5 linked regions of the Cricetulus griseus genome follow. The protein of the gene in region 2 purifies or fractionates together with the protein of the main gene of each other region. This does not show direct contact. Links are inferred from orthologs where the notes say so. Each region holds a gene or a part of one and is shown on either strand. Other genes may lie near its edges.

Region 1 (4,292 bases), on a different chromosome or scaffold from region 2:
GCTGCACAGAGCACTGAGCTAGGATGCAAGGGTTCTGAGGGGCTTACAGAACAGAGAATAAATGACCAACAAATAATGATGGGAATCTATGTTTGGGTTCTGGAAGGTACAGGAACAGTGGGCAATGTGATTGTGAGAGAGCAAAGGAAGTACGTATACTTTATTCAGAAGGGGGTTGGTCAGGAGTTAGCCAGAGGAGAAGCCAGTTATGCAGATGTCAAGGAATCAGGTCTGAGCAGGGAGAGCAGAAAGAACAAGGCACTAAAGCTAACAGAGGTGGCTGGAGGGACAAGAAAATATGTGTCTTTTTGGAACAGTGGGGAGGAAAGGACTTGAACTCACTATGGAGCATAGGATGACTAGGATCCTCCTGCCTCTACTTCCTAAATGTTGGGATTACAGGTGTAACCAACATCCAGCTGATGAACATTTCTGTCCTGTCCTGACAGGCTCCTGGAAACTATATGGATGGTAGTCCCTGCAGGGACACCTAAGAAATAGTAGTTAGTGAAGAAGATGAAAACAGCTGGGGAAAAATCTCTTTATTTATGTCTTTGTGCTTGGATGTACGTATGTGTGTGTATGAGCATGTGGAGAACCATGGCTGAAGTCAGGCGTCTTCTTTAATTGCTCTCCACATTATCTGTTGAAGCAATGTCTTCTACTGAATTCAGAGCTTCACCAATATGATGGCTTTACTGACCAGCTTGTTCCAGGGATTCCCTGTCTAGTACCTTATAAACATGGACTCACAGGTGGGGTACCACACCCACCTGACATTCACCTGCTTAACACCACCCACTGAGCCATTTCCCCATTCCCCTGGGTGTATTTTTTAAGATGAAAACTCTGAGCTGGACAGAAAGTTCAGTGGTTAACTGTACTTGTAGAATTAGAAGTAGAAGACCCAGGTTTGGTTCCCAGCACCCACATAGTGGTGCTATAACTGTCCATAACTCCAGTTCCAGGGATTCTAATGTCCTCTTCTGGCTTCCATGGGCACCAGGCACACACACTGTACACACATATAGATGCAGGCAAAATGTTCGTACACATAAAATTACATATTAATTAATTGGTTAATTAAAATGGCAACTTTAGGTGGCTGGCAATCACCAGCATCTTTATGGATCTTGCACCCCTGTCCCACACACAGGCTATCTGGAAAGCCCTTCTATTTTCAACAAAAAAGAAACACCTTATTGGGATTTTTGGTAGTAAATAATCATTGAACAAATTAAAACATACACCTACATTCAGATAGTACACAAATTATAAAGGAATAAGAAATAAAAACTTATCCACAGTCAGACCTGAAACATACACCACCAGACTTCACACTTCACTAGCACACAGACATACACCCCAGGTATGTCGTCTTGTCATCTCCTACTGATTCCATTACACACATGTTCTCAGGAAACAGACTTGGACCTCCTCAGTATCCTTGGTGCTGTGCACAGGCCAGGACTTTTAGGAGGCCCCAGAGGAAGGCTGCCAGTGACACTCAACCCAAAGTTTTCACTGGATAGCTAAAGACCCATCTACTAATAATGAAAATGCAACATTGCCCTTGCTTAGCAAATTCCTGAAACCTGCTTTGAAAAGCAGGGAGAACTCAGGGTGACCACACATAAAACCTTTGCACATCTGTAGAACAAAGTAGAGCTCAACCGGTACAAGTTACTGAGAAATCAGTATGGCTGGGGACATAATTTAGTGGCACAGCACCAGCCTAGCACAGGGAAGGAAGGGAAGGAGGAAGGTGGGGGGGGGGAGGAGACAAGAAGAAAAGGAGAGAAGGAGGGAGAAAAACCATAAAATATCTGGAGGGAAAAATGACTGAGAGTATGAGCGATGATTGAGTAAATGAGAGGGGGGGATTCGGGGATTGGACCTGGGAGCATAAATACGGGGTAATCAGGCAGGAGCAGAGTGGGGATTAGAAGGAATCCTTTAAAGTGTATGTGGGTGGGTAGGTGGGGATGGAAATGAGCAAACGCGGGCGAGAAGCTCCGGTGTTGGAACCTGCCGCCCACTGTCTTGTCCACTCCAAACCCAGCCCCACTCACATACTGACTGTCCTCGATCTCCTGCAGAGCCTTGATTTCCCTTAGAGCCTGGTTAGGAATGCCATCCTCCAGCCGTCGCAGGGCCACCTTCTTGAGGGCAACGATCTCTCCAGTCTGTGCAAGAAAGAGTGCCAAAGACCTTCGGAAGGCAGGGAAGGGCAGGGAGAGAACAAGGAACCAGGAACAAGATACCCAAGACACCCGCCCCCAGGTCGGGAATATGTAAACCGTCCGCTAGGGGACGCGATCCCGCAGTCCCGCTGCTGGAAGCGGGATCGCCCCAGAAGGGACCGGGACAAGCCTCCAGAGACCCCGGAGGCCCGCGCGCTGGCAGGTCTCAGCACCGAAAGGCCGCAGCTCGCGACCTGAAGCAGAGAGGAGGCAGCGGGTACCCCTCGGACAGCGCGTGCGGCGTGACCTCACCTCTACGTGCTTGGCTTTAAAGACGATGCCGTGGGCACCCTCCCCGATGCGACCGAGGATGCAGTACTGGTCCATGTCGACACGCGGCACCCAGATCCTCCACTGCAGGGATCCAGCGCAGGTCAGAGCGTGCAAGCGTTGCCTAGCAATAACGTGTCTAGCCGCTGCTCCGTACAGCACGTGACCGGAAAGACCCACGCGGAGCTGAGTCAAGAATCAGCTTCCCCCGCCTTGCAACACCTTTCAGCAGCCTTGGGCAGTCATCCGTGGATGACCGCACTCTTCAAATCCGGCCCCGGCGCCACGTGACAAGAAACGCTGCTGCGTGCGCCCGGGAGGGGCAGGGCCACGCAAGTAAAGGGAGCGTTCACACGCTCAAGGGCGGGGCCTCTGCTGGAGAGGTGGCCCGGGTGGGGATGGCCCGGGTACTCCTGATGCAGGCAGGAGTACCCAAAGACAAGATTCTAGTCTACCATTCGCTGCAGATGAGCCTCTTTGTAACTTACTCAAGCTAGTGTTGGAGACAAGCCCAGAGCTGCGTCGTGGAGAATCACTTAGGCCTCAGGTCTCTCCACCGGGCATCAAGAATCCAGGTACCTTTTAAAAGAGCTTACTAAGCCTGGGGATGAAGCTCCGTTGGTGAAGTGCTTGCCTATTGTGCACAAAGCCTTCGGTTGGATACCGAGTACCACATAAACTGGTCTCACTAAAGCAGTTCTGCAGTCCCAGTTCTTGGCAAGATCACGATCGCTCATCTACATAGTCAGTTCAAGTCAGCCTGCACTAGGAGACCTTGTCTCAGAATACAGCGAAATCCCCAACAAGCTCGTGAGATGATGACCAACATCCCTACTAATTAGGAAAAAGGAAATCAAACCACAAAAAGATATCTCACACCCTTTAGGATGACTACTGTCAGAAAAGTAAATGATAAACTGGCTGTGGTCGCCCTGCCTATAATTCCAGTACCCAGAAAGCAGAACAAGGCTAAAAGATCTCAAGTATGAAACCAGTTGGGACGTGGTTAAATGCTAACATAGTAAAACCGGGGAGAAATCAAGAAAGGCAGAAGAAGAGGAGAGGGAGGGGAACATGCACAAATGTTGGGAAGGCAAGGATGCAGAGAAAGAACAACCCTTGTGTGCATTTGTTGAAATGTAAGTGTGCCAGGCATGGTGGCTAATCCCTCCAATCCCAGCACTGAGGAGACTAAGGCAGGAGGATTGTCTCAGGTTCAAGGCCATAATGAGCCACAGTGTAAGACTGTCTCAAACACAAAGCAAACACAACCTTTAACAGTGTGAGGCTGAGCCCTGTGGGATGGCTGTGGGACCCTCTTCTGGGCATGAAATAAGTAAAAGTTTGCCAGCCCTGTGGCTTACTACTCACAGAGCTAAATCAGGAAAACAGAAAATTCAAGTTTGGACCTCAGTGTGAGGAGGAGCCTCAAATTAAAAGGAAAAAAGCAGATGCGGTGGTGTCTCCTTGTTCTTCCAGTGTTAGGTGGTAGAGGCAGGAAGCCCAGGAATTCAAGATCATCCTTGACTTCATGCTGAGCTTAGATTTCATAGGCTCAGAATTAAGGAGAATGCAGCATTGACATCCAAACTGATACACTACATTTTATTATAACTTTATATATGAGGACACACACAAAGAAATAAAGGAAAATCAATGTATCAACTACCATGCCTCTCTTTTTACACATAATATCATAAGATTAGAACATCTTTTTTGTTTGGTTTGTTTTTGTTGTTGTTTGTTTTGGTTTTTGGTTTTGTTTGTTTGTTTGTTTGT
Region 2 (4,080 bases):
TTGAGCAGGGTGAGCGGGCGAGCGGCTTACCGGGAGACGCTGGGTTACCCTACCCGCCTCGGTGTGTCTGCGAGCTGTGTGGCCGTTTCTGCGGATATGAGCGACAGGTGGCATCAGAGAGTCACACTTGCCTGCGGGCACCAGGGAAAGGCCTCAGAAACCAAACAAAGGCCACTGGCAGCCCAGTGAGGGGAGGCTCCAAGGGCACGGCTCCCCGAGACTTGGTCTCCAGAATCCGGGCCTCGGTTCCCGCAGCCGTCCTACCCGACGCGTGGGGGAGGGGTTCCCGGGGCCTCGGGCGGAAGCCGAGCACCCGCCGTGCGACCCAGCGCGGGGCTGTCGGGCGGGAATGCCCAGAACCTGGTCGCGGCGGCGGGTAGGGGGGCTGGGTGGCGCGGGAGAGGGCGGCAGAACGAGGGAGTTCCAGAGAGTTGCCGCCAGAGGAGCAGCCAGGGCCCGCGGTCTCCTTGGAGACGCGCTGGCCAATGAGAGCGGCGGAAGCTGTTTATAGGGGCGGAGCGTCGCCATGGCAGCAGGAGAAGCCTTCAGAGCGTCTACTTAATGCCGGTCCCCGGGCCGTCGGCGCTCACAGAAGCGCCGTCGGGCGAGGGGGGGGCGACGAGGGGCCCCAGCAGAGCCCTCGAGCTGGGCACGGAGAGCCGCGGGAGGAGGAAGGAACTTCTTCCAGAACCTTCCTCGGGCCGGGCCGCTCTGTGAGCCAGGTAAGGGACTGGGAGGGCTGCGGGCCGCGGCGTGGGAGGGCGGGCGTCAGGACCCGCGGCCGGCGGGCCGGCCGGTCATCCATCCCATCGGCCGCCCACCAAGGCGGCGGCACCCGTGACCGAGACCCGAGGGGCGTGGGGGAGGCCGCTGCCTGCCTGTCGGTAACTCGGCCGGGACCCTCGCTCCCTGCCTGCCTCCCTCCCTCCGAGGCTCAGGTGCCCTCCCCGCCTTAGCCGCCGCACCGCCGGCCCTCCTGCACCACCGGGTGCGAGCCCAGCTCCCGCTCTCTGGAAGAAAGTTAGACTGGGCCTCCCTGCCCTCCTCCCTCCCTCGGTGGGGCCGACGAGCCCGCCCTCGAAGGGCAGGTGGAGAGAGGAGGAGCAGGGGTCAGACAGAGCTCTGAGTCTCCTCTCCGTGACCGGGACACGGGTCCCCAGGACGAAGGTGAAGGGTGTCCCCTCCCCGGCACCGAGGTGAAACCCTCGCGGTAGGGAAGAGTGCTCAGCCCCGCGTTGCTCCCGCAGGCCCCGCATTCGTATTCGGAGGAGGCGGCCCCCGGGTCGCGGAATGGAAGTGAGCGTTCTGGAGGCTGTGTAGCCGGAGCCTCGGGTACCAGCGGGCCGGAGAACGCGGCGGGCCACCCGGCTCAGCCCGTGGATGTTGACCGCCCCCTCGGAGAGACCCCGCAGACATGGCGGAGAGCTGGCTGCGCCTCTGCGGAGCAGGGCCCGGGGAGGAGGCCGGGCCGGAGGGCGGCCTGGAGGAGCCGGACGCCCTGGATGACAGCCTGACCAGCCTGCAGTGGCTGCAGGAATTCTCCATTCTCAACGCCAAGGCCCCCACCCTGCCCCCGGGGGGCACCGACCCCCACGGTTACCACCAAGTGCCCGGCTCGGTGGCGCCCGGGTCACCCCTGGCGGCAGACCCTGCCTGCCTTGTGCAGCCGCACACACCCGGCAAGCCCACGTCGTCGTGCACATCTCGAAGCGCTCCCCCAGGGCTGCAGGCCCCGCCCCCCGACGACGTGGACTATGCCACCAACCCGCATGTGAAGCCACCTTACTCGTATGCCACTCTCATCTGCATGGCCATGCAGGCCAGCAAGGCCACCAAGATCACTCTGTCGGCCATCTACAAGTGGATCACGGACAACTTCTGTTACTTTCGCCATGCGGATCCCACCTGGCAGGTAGGGGAGAGGAAGTGTGGGTGGCGGCCATTCCCTCCTCACTCCCTGGTCTGGCTCTTGGCCAGATTCACATTCCAGATCCACAAAGCCCAAGGAGGCACCTGGCTTTGAGGTCAGACGGCTCATGAGAGGGCCCTGGCAAGTTCTGGAGCCAGGGCTTTGGGGTGCAGACGTTGAAGTTTTAGGAGAAGAGGGATTGATAGGGCACATTGGTCCTCCAGGCCCAGTGCGGCCTCCTATGAGGATGACACTATAAGGAACATTCTTGTCCCACGTCCCAGAATTCCTAGACACTGTTCTGCCCAAGGTTGATTTTGTCAGAACTGGACTCAAAAATGGAACCCAGGTGACCTTCCTGCCAGGTTCTGCACCCCGCCTTTTGCCTTCGGTCTGGAGAGTAGGGCAGAGATGAGCAGTAGGGGAGAGGTCATGAGGTCATCCTAAAGTCACTGACCCAGCTTCCCACCTCAACTCCTCCCCAGTTTCCTGCCTCCACCCTGCCCCCTCAGCCAGCCTCCCTTGGGGGCAATTACCTGAGCCAGTTGCTTCCCACAAGGGCGCTACCGCTGCTGCAAAGGCTTCAGGTTCCAAGTCTCTGGAACCTGGCACAGAGCAGCCAGTGGGCCCAGGCTGCCATGTAAACATCCCAGCCTTGCTGGCCAGAGGGGCACTTACTATCCACCTACCTGCCCCGCTAGCCTGCCTACCCTGGGCTCCTGGACACCGCCATGGTGTGAACACAACTAAGCAGCCAAACGTGAACAAGGCAAGATAAGGCCAAGTTCACACTGCTTTGAATGTCTTCCACTATCAGGGTCCAGGTGGTGGAGACAGAGGCCTCAGGTGGCCCAGTCTTCATTGAAGCACCCGTGGAGGCAGGGTGTAGGATCCAAGTCCTGAGGCATTCCAAATGGCCCTAACCCCGGGTCAGGAGACCCCCATCCTCTCCTTACTCAAGGCCTGTGCCAACTCAGGCCCCAGGAATGAGCCTTCTGCACTTGGCTGGGTAATAATCTACAGAGGTTTGGGTGGGAAGAGAAGACTGTGGGGGGTGAAGGCCTAGGCCAGCGGCTGGCTCAACAAACAAGGAGCCACTAAATATCCCACCACACACACCCATGCGGGCACGCAGGAGCGCAAGTGCGCGCGCGCGCGCGCACACACACACACACACACACACACACACACACACACACAATTCTTCCTCACCCAGCCCCCTCCCTTAACCCACCCCCTTCACAAACAGAGGGAACCAGCCAGGCAGAGGGAGATGGCTGTCCAGGCCTCCAGGCCGCGGGGGAGCTGAGGGCTTTGGCCAGGACCTGCAAGCAGCAGAGGGAGGGAGGGAGGGAGGATGACAGGGGGTGGCACTGAGAGCCACCCTGTGGCTCAGAGCTCGGATGACTGAGCAGGCAGATATCCCAGCAACAGAGAACAAAAGCCCCCCCCCAGCCTCCCCCCTCCACTCTGGGCTCCTCATGCCCTGTGGCTGGTGTCCCAGAGTCCCAGCTGCCTGGTCAGGGCATCGGGTTGATCCACCCCCCACACACACACCAGTCAGAGAAAAGATGCCCAGAGCGTTCAGGAGCACTGGGTGCCACCCCAACACCATTCCCCTGATCCCTCTGTGCTTTTTCTCTTGTTCTGTCACTGCATCCAGAATTCCATCCGCCACAACCTGTCCCTGAACAAGTGCTTCATCAAAGTGCCTCGAGAGAAGGACGAACCTGGCAAGGGGGGCTTCTGGCGCATTGACCCCCAGTATGCAGAGCGCCTGCTCAGTGGGGCCTTCAAGAAGCGGAGGCTGCCCCCAGTCCACATCCACCCTGCCTTCGCCCGCCAGGCCTCACAGGAACGCAACACCGCCCCCTGGGGTGGGCCTCTGACCGTGAACACAGAGGCCCAGCAGCTGTTGCGAGAGTTTGAGGAGGCCACAGGGGAGGGGGGCTGGGGCACGGGAGAGGGCAGGCTGGGGCATAAGCGAAAGCAGCCGCTGCCTAAGAGGGTGGCCAAAGTCCTGAGGCCTCCTAGCACATTGCTGCTGACCCAGGAGGAGCAGGGTGAGCTGGAACCCCTAAAAGGCAACTTTGACTGGGAGGCCATCTTTGAGGCTGGCACTCTGGGCGACGAGCTAAGCTCACTGGAGGCCTTGGAGCTAAGCCCCCCGC
Region 3 (3,514 bases), on a different chromosome or scaffold from region 2:
AAAAACTCAAGCACTTACCGTCGCTGGGGAGGCCCGGGTTGTGTGTGTCACTGAGTGACCAGAATTCTCCATTGAATTGCCAATCAGATAGGTTCCTCCAGAGCTGCTGATGAGCTGTCCTCCCGTGACACCCATCTGAATACCACCAGTACCCACCATACTGTGGGAGGACACCACGGTTGTCACCTGTGCTGAACTTCCTTGAGTATCAAAGTAATTTCCTCCAGTGTTTTGGCTGTACATCTGTGTTTCTGTATAAGGATAAGTTGTTGTTCGGCTTTAGAAAGAAGAAAAAAGGAGAGATTTACTAGCTTGTTTAAATCACGATTGTTATCTTTAATACCAATATTTAAAAATATATATATTAATAATGTCCAGCCTTTGAAACTTGTTAAATTTTGTTTTTTTATGAAATATTATTCCCACCAATAAAGAGATTGATTTCCTCTCCAAATTAAATGAGAACCTTAGCTTGTTTCTGTACTGTAGTTTATTTACTCTCTATAGGAGTTCATCTCCAACTCATCAACAGGTCCGTTTGCTGCAAGAAATCTGTTCACAAATTCTGTCCTTGTATTTAAACACTCATGTATGTGCTGCTATGAGGAAAGATGAGATCTACCATGACCAGGGACCACTTCCCATCCATGGATAACTAGTGATTATCCTCCATATCTGAAGACACTTCTGTGGATTCCTTCCTTAAGACCAAGAAGGTCTTGAGCTAAAACACAACTTATGTCTGTCTAGCAGCTCTCCCTTCCTCAGTGACTGTGCCAGCTCTTCACATACTCACTTTGCACCTCCCCAGAAGTCTGGTCAAGCTCTGCCCTTAGCCTTTCAGTGAAGTGGCTTTTAATAAGGTCACTTGTGACCAAATGTAAATATCAGGCCAAAAGGCTCCTTCAGCCCTTGTCTCTTTTTGACCTATTTGCAGAATGACACTGCTGACCACTCCATGTTGCCCTTTTCTTCTTTGTCGGTTCTGATTAAATTCATCTGATTTTTTCATTTCCAGTTGATGTCAGCTTACACTATAGGATGCTTTAATTTTTTTAATATGTAAAAAGCTCACAAGAAGTTATAGGACTACAGAAATGTAAGAAGACACATTCAGAAACACTTCATTTGCTTATATCTTTGAAATTTCAAATGATAAACATTTCCAGTGCTTACTGTTCTCTTAACTTCACCCCCACATGTAGCCAAGCCTGGCATTTGGGTATCAAGTATCCTGGTACTTTACTTTCTCTGGCACTTCATCTCCACTCTTTACATTCACTGTTATCCTGCAACTACCGTTTCTAATCTCTAGAGGAAATGAACAACTTCATGGAAACAGTGTCTTCCTGACACAACAGGACTGATAAACATGAATTCACAGAGACTGTGGCAGCACTCACAAGGCCTTTACAAGTGCAAGCTAGTTGGGGTCCCAGCAGTACAAAGAGCAAACAGACACAGGCTTGAAGCCCTAACCAAGAAGTTATCTACAATCAGTATCCGCATAAAAAGGAAAAATTAGTCCTCTCCAATGGAGTCTCTTCCCTGGGCAGAATAACCACACTTCCGGGTAGACTGCATGTCCATGAGTAGATGCCTGACACAAAAAGTACTCAGTGCTATTTCTTTAGACATTTTGTCTCACTTTGCTTTCTTTGTGTACTCTTGTTTGTTGAGAGAGAGAGAGAGAGAGAGAGAGAGAGAGAGAGAGAGAGAGAAGATGTGGCATTGGGTTGGTGGGGAGGTGCGAATCTGGGAGGAGTTGGGGGAGGGGAAAAGTGTGATCAGAATATACTGTATGAAAATACCTTTTCAATAAAAGAGTTAATAGTTTTCAGAAAATAATCTACACTAAAAAAAACTATACCCTTCACAAATAACTACAAAATATCAAAGCATAAATGTTAAAGACAATGATACAAACAATTATAGAATATTTTTTAAAAATCTGAAAAATACAATTTAAAATATATGTAAGAGTCTTATCATTGCTATACTTTCTCAAACTAAACATCTTTAGTTACTAAAGTAAAAATAGGCATGTTAATTTCACATTTAGATTAAAAGATAAAGGGGTTTATGCTAATTTGTGTGCACTGAATATATAGTAGCTTCATTTAACAATGAATAAAATAAAACAACTTAAGGTTGGTATTAAATACAATCAAATGAACTGTATAAATACATACAAGGTAATAAATACTAACACATGCAATATATGGTTCTGTTTCTCTTTTTGGAGTACAGTGAACTCAGCCCATGTACTAAGTTATGTCACATGGGAGACAACAAAAAACTCTGTACACATTAATAATATCTATGAATAACTAAGAAGGAATTATCCTAGAAAGTAGTAAGAGGGTTTCAATTTTCTGTTATGGTTTAGGATTCTATTACCTCAGCTTATTAGTACCATGCTACTCATCTTACCCAGAATAGGACCTTCAATGCTGAAGAAGGGCTGAAGATACCAACACAAAATGTGTTAATTCCAGCAGTCCTATGAATGTGGATATTGTACTAAAGCTTAAGAAAAACATGTGTCAAGGGACTTCAGTAATTCCATCTTTCAGATGGACTGTCTTCGTGCAATTCTCAATGGACATAACAGATATGCATGCCCTGCAAATAAATATATGAAGTCTATATGACCCTCAGGTCAGTATGAAAATATGGCAGTGGAAAGCAAGTTGCTTTAGTTTTCATATTTTCTTCCTATCTGAACTTCAGTTTATTTGTCTGCAGAGGGGGCAGTGATAAATGATCTCAATCTTACCAACTCTAACATTCTAGGAAGCTACCTTTGAACATCTTTCATCTTTGAAGAGATAGGAATTTTTTATGTAGCTAACACTAGAAGCCCTTTTTAATTATAAAGAAATGTCCAAGCTCTTTTACAGACAGTCAATTCTCTCTCCGAAGTTTCCTATGGAACCAATCATGCTTGGTAATTTCTAAATGGGAAGTGGATTTCCACAGCAGCCCCTACATATCTAAGACTGTACACCAGGAGAAGGACGAATAAAGAAAGCATTCTCACTCCTTAATGATTCCATGTAATCATTTTTTCTAAGAAAAAAGGAAGTTAAAGATAATAAGAAAACATAATTTCACCTGCAAATTCTAAAACTTAGCTGTGTCACTTGAGGAGGAAAAGAATAATCTCAAGTGGTTTCTTATTAATCATTTGAAGTATATGGGAGAGGTAAGTGGAGGCCTTCAGAAAATGTACTACCTGCAGGATTTTCAAGAGGTGACTCTTAGAAAATTGAGTCCCATTCTGTTCACATGCTTATGGATTCTGAATAAATTACAAATGTCAAAAGTGTCATCTCCCAAAGTGTAGTGTGTGAAAGTTTTGAAAATACTGAGTTTCTTTCCTAGATACTGACTTACTTTCTTCCTTAATACAGGAAAAAAAAAAAAACCTTTTAAAAACCTTGAAAGTTCTTTTAGGAACTGGGATCCTCTCAAAGACTGGTACAAGTTTTTCATCGAGGTAACCACAGTA
Region 4 (3,206 bases), on a different chromosome or scaffold from region 2:
TGACAAAGGTGGTAAATTCAGACAACATTATGATCTAATAAACTTTATTTTTTAAAAATGACCATTTTCCATTTTCTTTCTAGGAAATTAAACCCTTTTAATTCTCATCTACCTTCTACATAATGGTTATTGAATACTCCACAATATATTAAGTCTAGATGTTATGGTACATGCATACACTTTCAGGCTGTTTATACCCACTGTCACCAATACACATAAATGGGGGGCGCTATGAAACTGTTTAGGGCTGTAGATATACTGGTCTCAGCATAATGCAGGAAATTGCTTTAATTTCCAGCCATTTTGTCTAAACTGTTCAAATAAAAACTATGAACAGAATTCAAATACAGGCCTGTTTTGAAGAGACTTTCTAAAGTGAACTTTAAAACATAGTAGTTTTTACCTTTCACAAAACTGAGATACAAGAATACTTTTGTTTTACAGTGCATCCCTTCCTAGGAAGTCTCATTAAAACACTCAACTGTTTTCTAGGGGTGAAGTTTTTTTTTTTTTGTTTTTTTTTTTGTTTTTTTTTTTTTTTGAATGCTGCACAGGAGAGGGAAGGAAATAATAGTCTTAACTTTTCTTAAAGGATACCAGAAACATTGCTGGATATAATTTAAGATTAGTGTTTTTCTCTTTCATAGAAAGAACGTACATACTGGGACATGAGTACAGTTACAGCAAGTCTAGGTGTGCTAACAAAACAGGGCACATTCAAGTACAATAAGATTTTTGCTTGAAATTAAAAACAAACTACATGAGATTAAAGCATTAAAATCATATTCTCAATCTGAATACATGTTAAAAAAAATCAATGCAGAAGTGCTAGCTCACATTTTTACCATATTACAAAAGCAATTGGTACCCATGTCCATAACGGCAGCAACAAAGCTGCTTGTCTATTGAAGATTACTACTGCAAGTCGGACTGCATTCAATGCTAGTTAGTTGTAAAAACACCAGCTCTTTCACAAGTTGGTATCTGTACAAAATTGCAGCTTACTTTCTTCACTTCTGTCCCTTCAAAAGTCTTTACACAGTAATGCTAAAACACCCAGCTTGGAGATCCTGAGTCAATATATTGCCACTTTCTTTTTGGTAGCTTGAGCTTCATAGTGTCAACTGACCTTGTGTATCCACTTTTCAGTACAGTCTCTTTCTGTAGCATGGGCAAGGATTTTAAATCTTCCAAAAATGTTTTAAGTTACGATGTTAGAATGGCAGGACTTTTTCTTTAGAGAAGGAATTCAGTTGTGCTGCAACGTATTAGATTCTATAGGTGGAGCAGAGTCATATAATGTGTCTGTATCATGAGTAGGTTCACCAGCTAATGTACAAGGATTGGACAATGTTCCAGCACCACAGTCACAGAAAAACCTAAAGCAAAATGAAAACCCGAAAATTAGTGAAGCACAGGGAAGTGATTGTGGGCAATAAAGCAACAAGTATTCTACATACCTGTCATGTCTAATAAATTCTACATCATGTCCCTGATGGCACTTCTTAATGCAGTTCACACATATGGCATTTCGATCTGTGGTGTTACAAGTATGACATCTAAAAACCAAAACATTGTATTATTGAACTTGACAAGAATTTAAAACCATGCATTTTTATTACTCTATGGCCAGCCTTTAACTGAATTTTGGTAGCTGGCTAGAGTCTAGACTGAAAGGAAACTAATATGGTGTGTCTTAGGAAAGTTTAACCACCTGAGCTGTAAGTAATAGTGGGAATGTTACTGTTTTTCAAAACAAACAGGCACTTGAGAAGGAGAGACAGGTTGACTTCTGTGAGTTCAAGGCCAGCCTGGTCTGTAACTTAATAAATGACATCAGTTAACAGTAATGCATCCCCCTGACCCAGTTATTCTACAGCTTAGTTCAGACAACAGAACCAAAGATATTAGGCAATGACAATTTAAAGGGAACCACTAACTTTCACTCTTCTGCATTCAAGGAATTTACAAATATACCTGTAGAAGTCATGCATGGGATAGCTGGTATAACTTGATATTTTATATAAACATTGTCCTCTACTAACAGCCTTTTCTATGGCATCTTGATTGTTCATTATTTTGTTATCTGTAAAAACAAAAAAGTATTTTTAACAGCTAGCCAAGGATACAAATATATAAGCAAGTAAAATAGGTTTTCCTTGTGTAAAATATCCCAACTCCTAGAACAAGCTTAAGCCAAACTCCAAACTATTTTTATTTAAAATTGCTACTAATGTGGAAAGTGGAAGGAGGAATTAATGGCTTCTGATTGAGGAACAGAGACTCCAACATACCTTTCATTGTCACATTAACACCAGATGCTAAAAATAAGCCTCCAAATCGGTTGTTAAAAATCTGATTGCCTTCTAGTGTTGCAGTTGCATGATTTGTAATTTCAATACCTGAAGTAAAATTTACAAACAAGTAGATGCATAATCACTTCATTTGTTTTTCAAGACAGGGTTTTTTTCTGTTTAACAACCCTGGCTGTCTTGGAACTCAGAGATCCACCTGCCTCTGCCTCCCAAGTTTTCGGAATAAAGGCATGTGCCACCAACACCTGGCCACTTACACTGTTCTTAAAAGAATCTCCAAATTGGGAAGGATGTAAGCTGGCACTTTTACATTAGTTTGCTGACTAAAGAACAAATTACAAGTATTTTAACCATCAACAGTAACATTCACTTTTCACTGCTGACAGTGATGCAGTCACTAGGACAGGTAAACTGGGGGAATAATACTGTTACAAGAGAAAGGGCTTAATGTATAAAGGGAGACAAGGATAAAGCTAAAAAAAGAGGAAGGCATCCAATACTGTGCTGAAATAATAGTTTTCATATTAAAAAAGAAAAGCTGTTAAATGGTTATTTGAAGTGATTAACCATTTTTTCCCTTTTAAAATTTATCTGTATTCCCAATCTGACTACAGGTTTATTCCAGTTATTGTTAAACATTAAGAGTAGTTTCTTTAAGTCAGGTGGTGGTGGCGCACACCTTTAATTGGTGCAGATCTCTTGAGGTTGAGGCCAGCCTAGACTACAGAGTTCCAGGACAGCCAGGGTTACAGAGCAAGGTTGGCCTAGAGTAGAGGAATTCAGAACTTTGAATAATAACCAGGAAAACCTTATAATTACAAACTGTAAACAAGTCACAGATAAAGAATACAAACCTGCAGCAAATCCATCAAATATTCTGTTTTTCCTTAA
Region 5 (4,140 bases), on a different chromosome or scaffold from region 2:
CCACCTGTAGTGAGATCTGGTGCCCTCTTCTGGCCTGCAGGGATACATGCAGACAGAAAACTGTACATAATAAATAAATAAATCTTAAAAAAAAAAAAAGGTAAAGAAAAAAAATATGTCCTCAAAGATGCACATTTGAACCTAGTACAGGTTTCTCTGCTCATAAGAAAGAACAAGTGGAAATAAACACATCCCTAAGCTGCTCAAGGGACACCGCCATTAGCCTCCGTGTTTCCTCCATTAATGAAAACTTTTGTATTTACATAGGAATAGGTCACTAAATTGAGGACATTCATGTTTCCACTTCTTCTTCAGTGTTATTACCCTACATTTCCCAAGAACACCCAATGATGGTTTTTCCATTGTGAACTTGTGACTTTCTCAGAATATTGATACAAAACTACACTTTATAACAACACATATATGTCATATATGATATAGATCATATATGGACATAAAACATGTATTCACTCCCTCTTCCCTTTCTAGAGGTCTCAAGTATTTTCTGCCATATTAAAGGAATGGAGGAGGAATGGATGGTCTAGAAAAGTATAATCAGCTTAGAGAGAGAATCAGAAGAAGCTGCTGAAGAAAGGGACAGGCTAGCATCTCCACATCTCTACGTGACAAAGTCTCTAAGATGGTATTACCTGTATCAGTTTCTCCTCCAATGACCACACAGTCTCCCACTTTGATTTATTATACCTGAAATTACATTATTTACTGACTCAACTGTCTCCAACGCCATCCTCCTATAAAAATGTTAGTAACCCAGAAACTCAGTATACCAAATAAGCCTTTTAAAATGTGGAATGATAAAAGGAAGATACAATTGCAGACCTTAGAAATAATAAGGTAATGGGATGTTAATGGAAATCTTTCTATAAATTAGTTTGAAAATCTAGATAAAATGGAAACATTCCCAAAATACAATGCTAAAAACACTAACTTATTTACTGTTTTTAAAGCACAAACGTGCCAGGTGTGGCGGTGTGCACCTGTCATCTCAGCACTCCAGAAGCAAAGACAAGTGGGTCTCTGTTAATTCTAGGCCAGTCCTATCTACACAGCAAGTTCCAGGCCAGTAAGAGCTACACAATCCTGTCAAAAACAAAAACAAACAAAAACCAAACAAAATGGATATTTAATAAATCCCACTTTTATTTGAGAAGATGCCCAATTTCTATATTGTGCTTTTCAAATAATAAACTTATGATTAAAAAAACTGATTGCAAGTGTATCTAAAGGACAGTTATTGTCCAATAATTGAGATTAGCAGTGACATAATATAGAAATAAGCAAAGATAAAGAAAGGCATAAATTTAAGAAAATAAAGCTGGATAGGGTTTTCAGCATCACTTGGGATATTGAAATAGAATAGTAACTTTCAGGCTACCCTGGTCAACACATCAATCAGGATTCAAAACTTAGTATGAAATTAGAAACTCTACCGTGATTCTATATTTAAAAAAAAAAATCCCTTGGTAACCTGAGGAAATTGTAAAGGACAACCCGTAGACAACAAATAAACAAATAACCTTTTACAAGCAACATTAAAGGCCTGAAGGAACCCCTAACACCATTTTCAGGAAAACTGAACTTCAAGTTATCCAAAAGTCAATAAAAGCATCATAAAATGCCTCCTATAATACATGAGACCCTGGGTTCCATCCCCAGCACCAGAATGAATAAGTAGATAAGCAGACAAAAGCGACATCACAAGAAAAATGTCTGTGAGACCAAATGAAATAAAGCACTGGATTTTTTTTTAAAGTTATAACCTATCGTAAGCTGGGACCCTGGAGATAGACTTTGTAACTGAGAGGCTTAACTTGGTATACGAACAAACGCCAAATCTCTAAGGATCTTTAAGTCTAAGGAACGTTCATATTCTGAAGGCCATCCTGGGAGCACCTGACAGGTTCTTTTCTCCGTTCCTCCATGCTGGCCGTCCTGTTTCTTGTCAATAGGCACAGGGCATTTGCATGGGCGCCCTGCCCCTTCACAGACACCCAGACCTGCTTCAGTATATACGGGAGCCGCTTGCCGTCCTGAGTGGCTAACTACAGCAGGCAGTGAAGGTAACAGATCGGCATATAGGGATCTTGGGGGTCACTACTTCTAGATAAAGTGAAGGGGATCCCTTTAAGTGGTTAAGATTGTTCTTTAAAGAACACGAATGATTTACAACTGATGTAACAAAAAAAAAAAAAGGCGGAAGAGGCTCTGGAAAACCAGTTTTTAAAAAAATGAAGAAAAAATAAATTCGGCACTGGGACAAACGATAGAAAAACAGGACCACACTTAGCTGTTTTCACAAAAATCAAATGAATCTCTGTATCCGAATCATTTTCCACCTTTCCTGGACAAGTGGTTTGTCTGCTTAAAAACTTAAACTCGACTTTACTTGTGGAAATTTTCGTCAGTTTCCTCCAACCGCAAGAGGATCTCCTCTGCGCACTCCAAGGACGGAGCGCCGGTGATTTTCTCCTTCACGCTCTGGAACAGCTGCCGGAGCATCGCCTGCAGCATCGCCTCATCGTCGCTTGAGAAATGGGCCATTCTGTGCAGCTAGCAAGCCTCGGCACCACGGCGGGGTCGCCACCAACACACACCACTGCGCACGCGCGGCCGGGTCCAATCGCGGCTGGCGCGCAGCGTCGTTCCCTAGGAAACCACCTCTAGCGCCCGGGGGCGGGGCCGCGGCTGGCTGGCTTCGTGCAGGATAATCAAGGCTCTGGGCTTGGAGACCAGAAGCTAGCTGAGGTCGGCGTTTGATGCCTGACGTTCGGCGGCACCTGCGGAGCCCAGGCAGCCCCGGACATGAGCAACAGACTCTCCAGGCTCTGGGGCGAGCCTGACGGGAACGCCCCGGCTGCGCCTGACGTCAGCTCGCCGACGCGGCGGTGGGAGGGGTGAATCCAGGAGGAGAGCCTTACCCCCCTGAACCCTAGACCTGTGAGAGGGAAGGACAAGGGAAGCCAGACTGAAAGCAGTTAACTAGATGGAATTTTTAAAAACTGTTCGCTCACAGCAACTGACACCTGTTGAGCGCCCGCAGCTTACCAAGCAATGCCTGCCTGTGAAGATGGCCCTTCACAACGAGACAGAACACAAATTAACAGTGCACTGCAGGGCGGCTAAGAGCCTTACTAAAGAAATGTCACGTGACAGCCTGGAAGCAGCTCCCCGAACCCTCATCCCAAGCTAAGGAGCAATGAACAAATGACTTCTGGGAGCTGGAGCCATTGTCATTAGGGGTGTAGCCATGCTCCAGAGGATGGCTCAACATGCATTCGTGAAACTATAGACAGCAACAAATAGACTCGGTGTTTTCTGTTGTTTTGATCTTTTAGGCCTGGAGATGAAAGTTGGTGGTTAGTAGTACTGGCTGCTACTCCAGAGGACCAAGGTTCAATTTCCAACGCCCGCATAGTAGCTCACAACCTGCTCTAAGTTCAGGTCCACGAGATCTGATGCGCTGAGTCACCTCCCTCCGTGGCACTGCACATCTAAGGTTCACAGACATACACGCATGCAAACACTATACACATAAAATAATTTTTAAATCAACATGTTTTAAAAGAAAGGAGGGAGTGGGGAGATGGAGCAGTGGGGGTAAATATGATCTAATACATTGTACACATCAAATTACAAAAGAAACAATAAAAATATATCTCTATAAAACAAAGGAATGGGCCAGGCGTTGGTGGCGCACGCCTTTAATAATGCGGGGGCAGAGGCAGGCGGATCTCTGTGAGTTCGAAGCCAACCTGGTCTCCAGAGCAAGTGCCAGGATAGGCTCCAAAGCTGCAAAGTGAAACCTTGTCTCGAAAAACCAAGAAAAGGGAATGGTGGTGGTAGTTGCTGTGGAAACCTAGGATTTTGTTCATAATCCAGTGGGACTTTTAAAAAGAAACACATCAGATTGGACATGAAAAGTATGGGAGCTTGAGCATATACAATATTCAGACACCAGTAGCTACAAAACAGCCCCCAAACCACTGATGAATGGTTTGATGTCAATAAACTTTCCAAACCCAGCCGTACATTCTATCTTCATATCAGACACCCTTCTCAGGTTAGCCAGATTCAGTAATTCTCCTGCCCACGCAAGTGCTTCTAGGAAGACAGATATTT

The links.
Region 1: the proteins of Foxj1 (region 2) and Cdk20 purify together in Homo sapiens (affinity purification with mass spectrometry; 3 studies listed by BioGRID and IntAct, counting the BioPlex papers as one, with this or other methods). This does not show direct contact. The link is inferred for Cricetulus griseus from reciprocal best matches to the Homo sapiens genes FOXJ1 and CDK20.
Region 3: the proteins of Foxj1 (region 2) and Rfx3 purify together in Homo sapiens (affinity purification with mass spectrometry; 3 studies listed by BioGRID and IntAct, counting the BioPlex papers as one, with this or other methods). This does not show direct contact. The link is inferred for Cricetulus griseus from reciprocal best matches to the Homo sapiens genes FOXJ1 and RFX3.
Region 4: the proteins of Foxj1 (region 2) and Fbxo11 purify together in Homo sapiens (affinity purification with mass spectrometry; 3 studies listed by BioGRID and IntAct, counting the BioPlex papers as one, with this or other methods). This does not show direct contact. The link is inferred for Cricetulus griseus from reciprocal best matches to the Homo sapiens genes FOXJ1 and FBXO11.
Region 5: the proteins of Foxj1 (region 2) and Tbc1d32 purify together in Homo sapiens (affinity purification with mass spectrometry; 3 studies listed by BioGRID and IntAct, counting the BioPlex papers as one, with this or other methods). This does not show direct contact. The link is inferred for Cricetulus griseus from reciprocal best matches to the Homo sapiens genes FOXJ1 and TBC1D32.

What each region holds. Positions count from the first base shown.
Region 1 is NC_048596.1:282,039,835-282,044,126, reverse strand, and holds the start of Cdk20 (cyclin-dependent kinase 20), read right to left. Parts: upstream 2,804-4,292; 5' UTR 2,571-2,803; coding exon 2,496-2,570; intron 2,187-2,495; coding exon 2,073-2,186; intron 1-2,072. UniProt on the Homo sapiens protein: Required for high-level Shh responses in the developing neural tube.
Region 2 is NC_048600.1:128,919,092-128,923,171, reverse strand, and holds the start of Foxj1 (forkhead box protein J1), read left to right. Parts: upstream 1-1,270; 5' UTR 1,271-1,414; coding exon 1,415-1,912; intron 1,913-3,572; coding exon 3,573-4,080. UniProt on the Homo sapiens protein: Transcription factor specifically required for the formation of motile cilia. Acts by activating transcription of genes that mediate assembly of motile cilia, such as CFAP157.
Region 3 is NC_048596.1:33,571,425-33,574,938, reverse strand, and holds part of Rfx3 (transcription factor RFX3), read right to left. Parts: intron 278-3,514; coding exon 19-277; intron 1-18. UniProt on the Homo sapiens protein: Transcription factor required for ciliogenesis and islet cell differentiation during endocrine pancreas development. Essential for the differentiation of nodal monocilia and left-right asymmetry specification during embryogenesis.
Region 4 is NC_048598.1:89,599,619-89,602,824, forward strand, and holds the end of Fbxo11 (F-box only protein 11), read right to left. Parts: coding exon 3,170-3,206; intron 2,403-3,169; coding exon 2,295-2,402; intron 2,087-2,294; coding exon 1,978-2,086; intron 1,560-1,977; coding exon 1,461-1,559; intron 1,380-1,460; coding exon 1,250-1,379; 3' UTR 501-1,249; downstream 1-500. UniProt on the Homo sapiens protein: Substrate recognition component of a SCF (SKP1-CUL1-F-box protein) E3 ubiquitin-protein ligase complex which mediates the ubiquitination and subsequent proteasomal degradation of target proteins, such as DTL/CDT2, BCL6, SNAI1 and PRDM1/BLIMP1.
Region 5 is NC_048595.1:253,180,173-253,184,312, reverse strand, and holds the start of Tbc1d32 (protein broad-minded), read right to left. Parts: upstream 2,814-4,140; 5' UTR 2,563-2,813; coding exon 2,408-2,562; intron 1-2,407.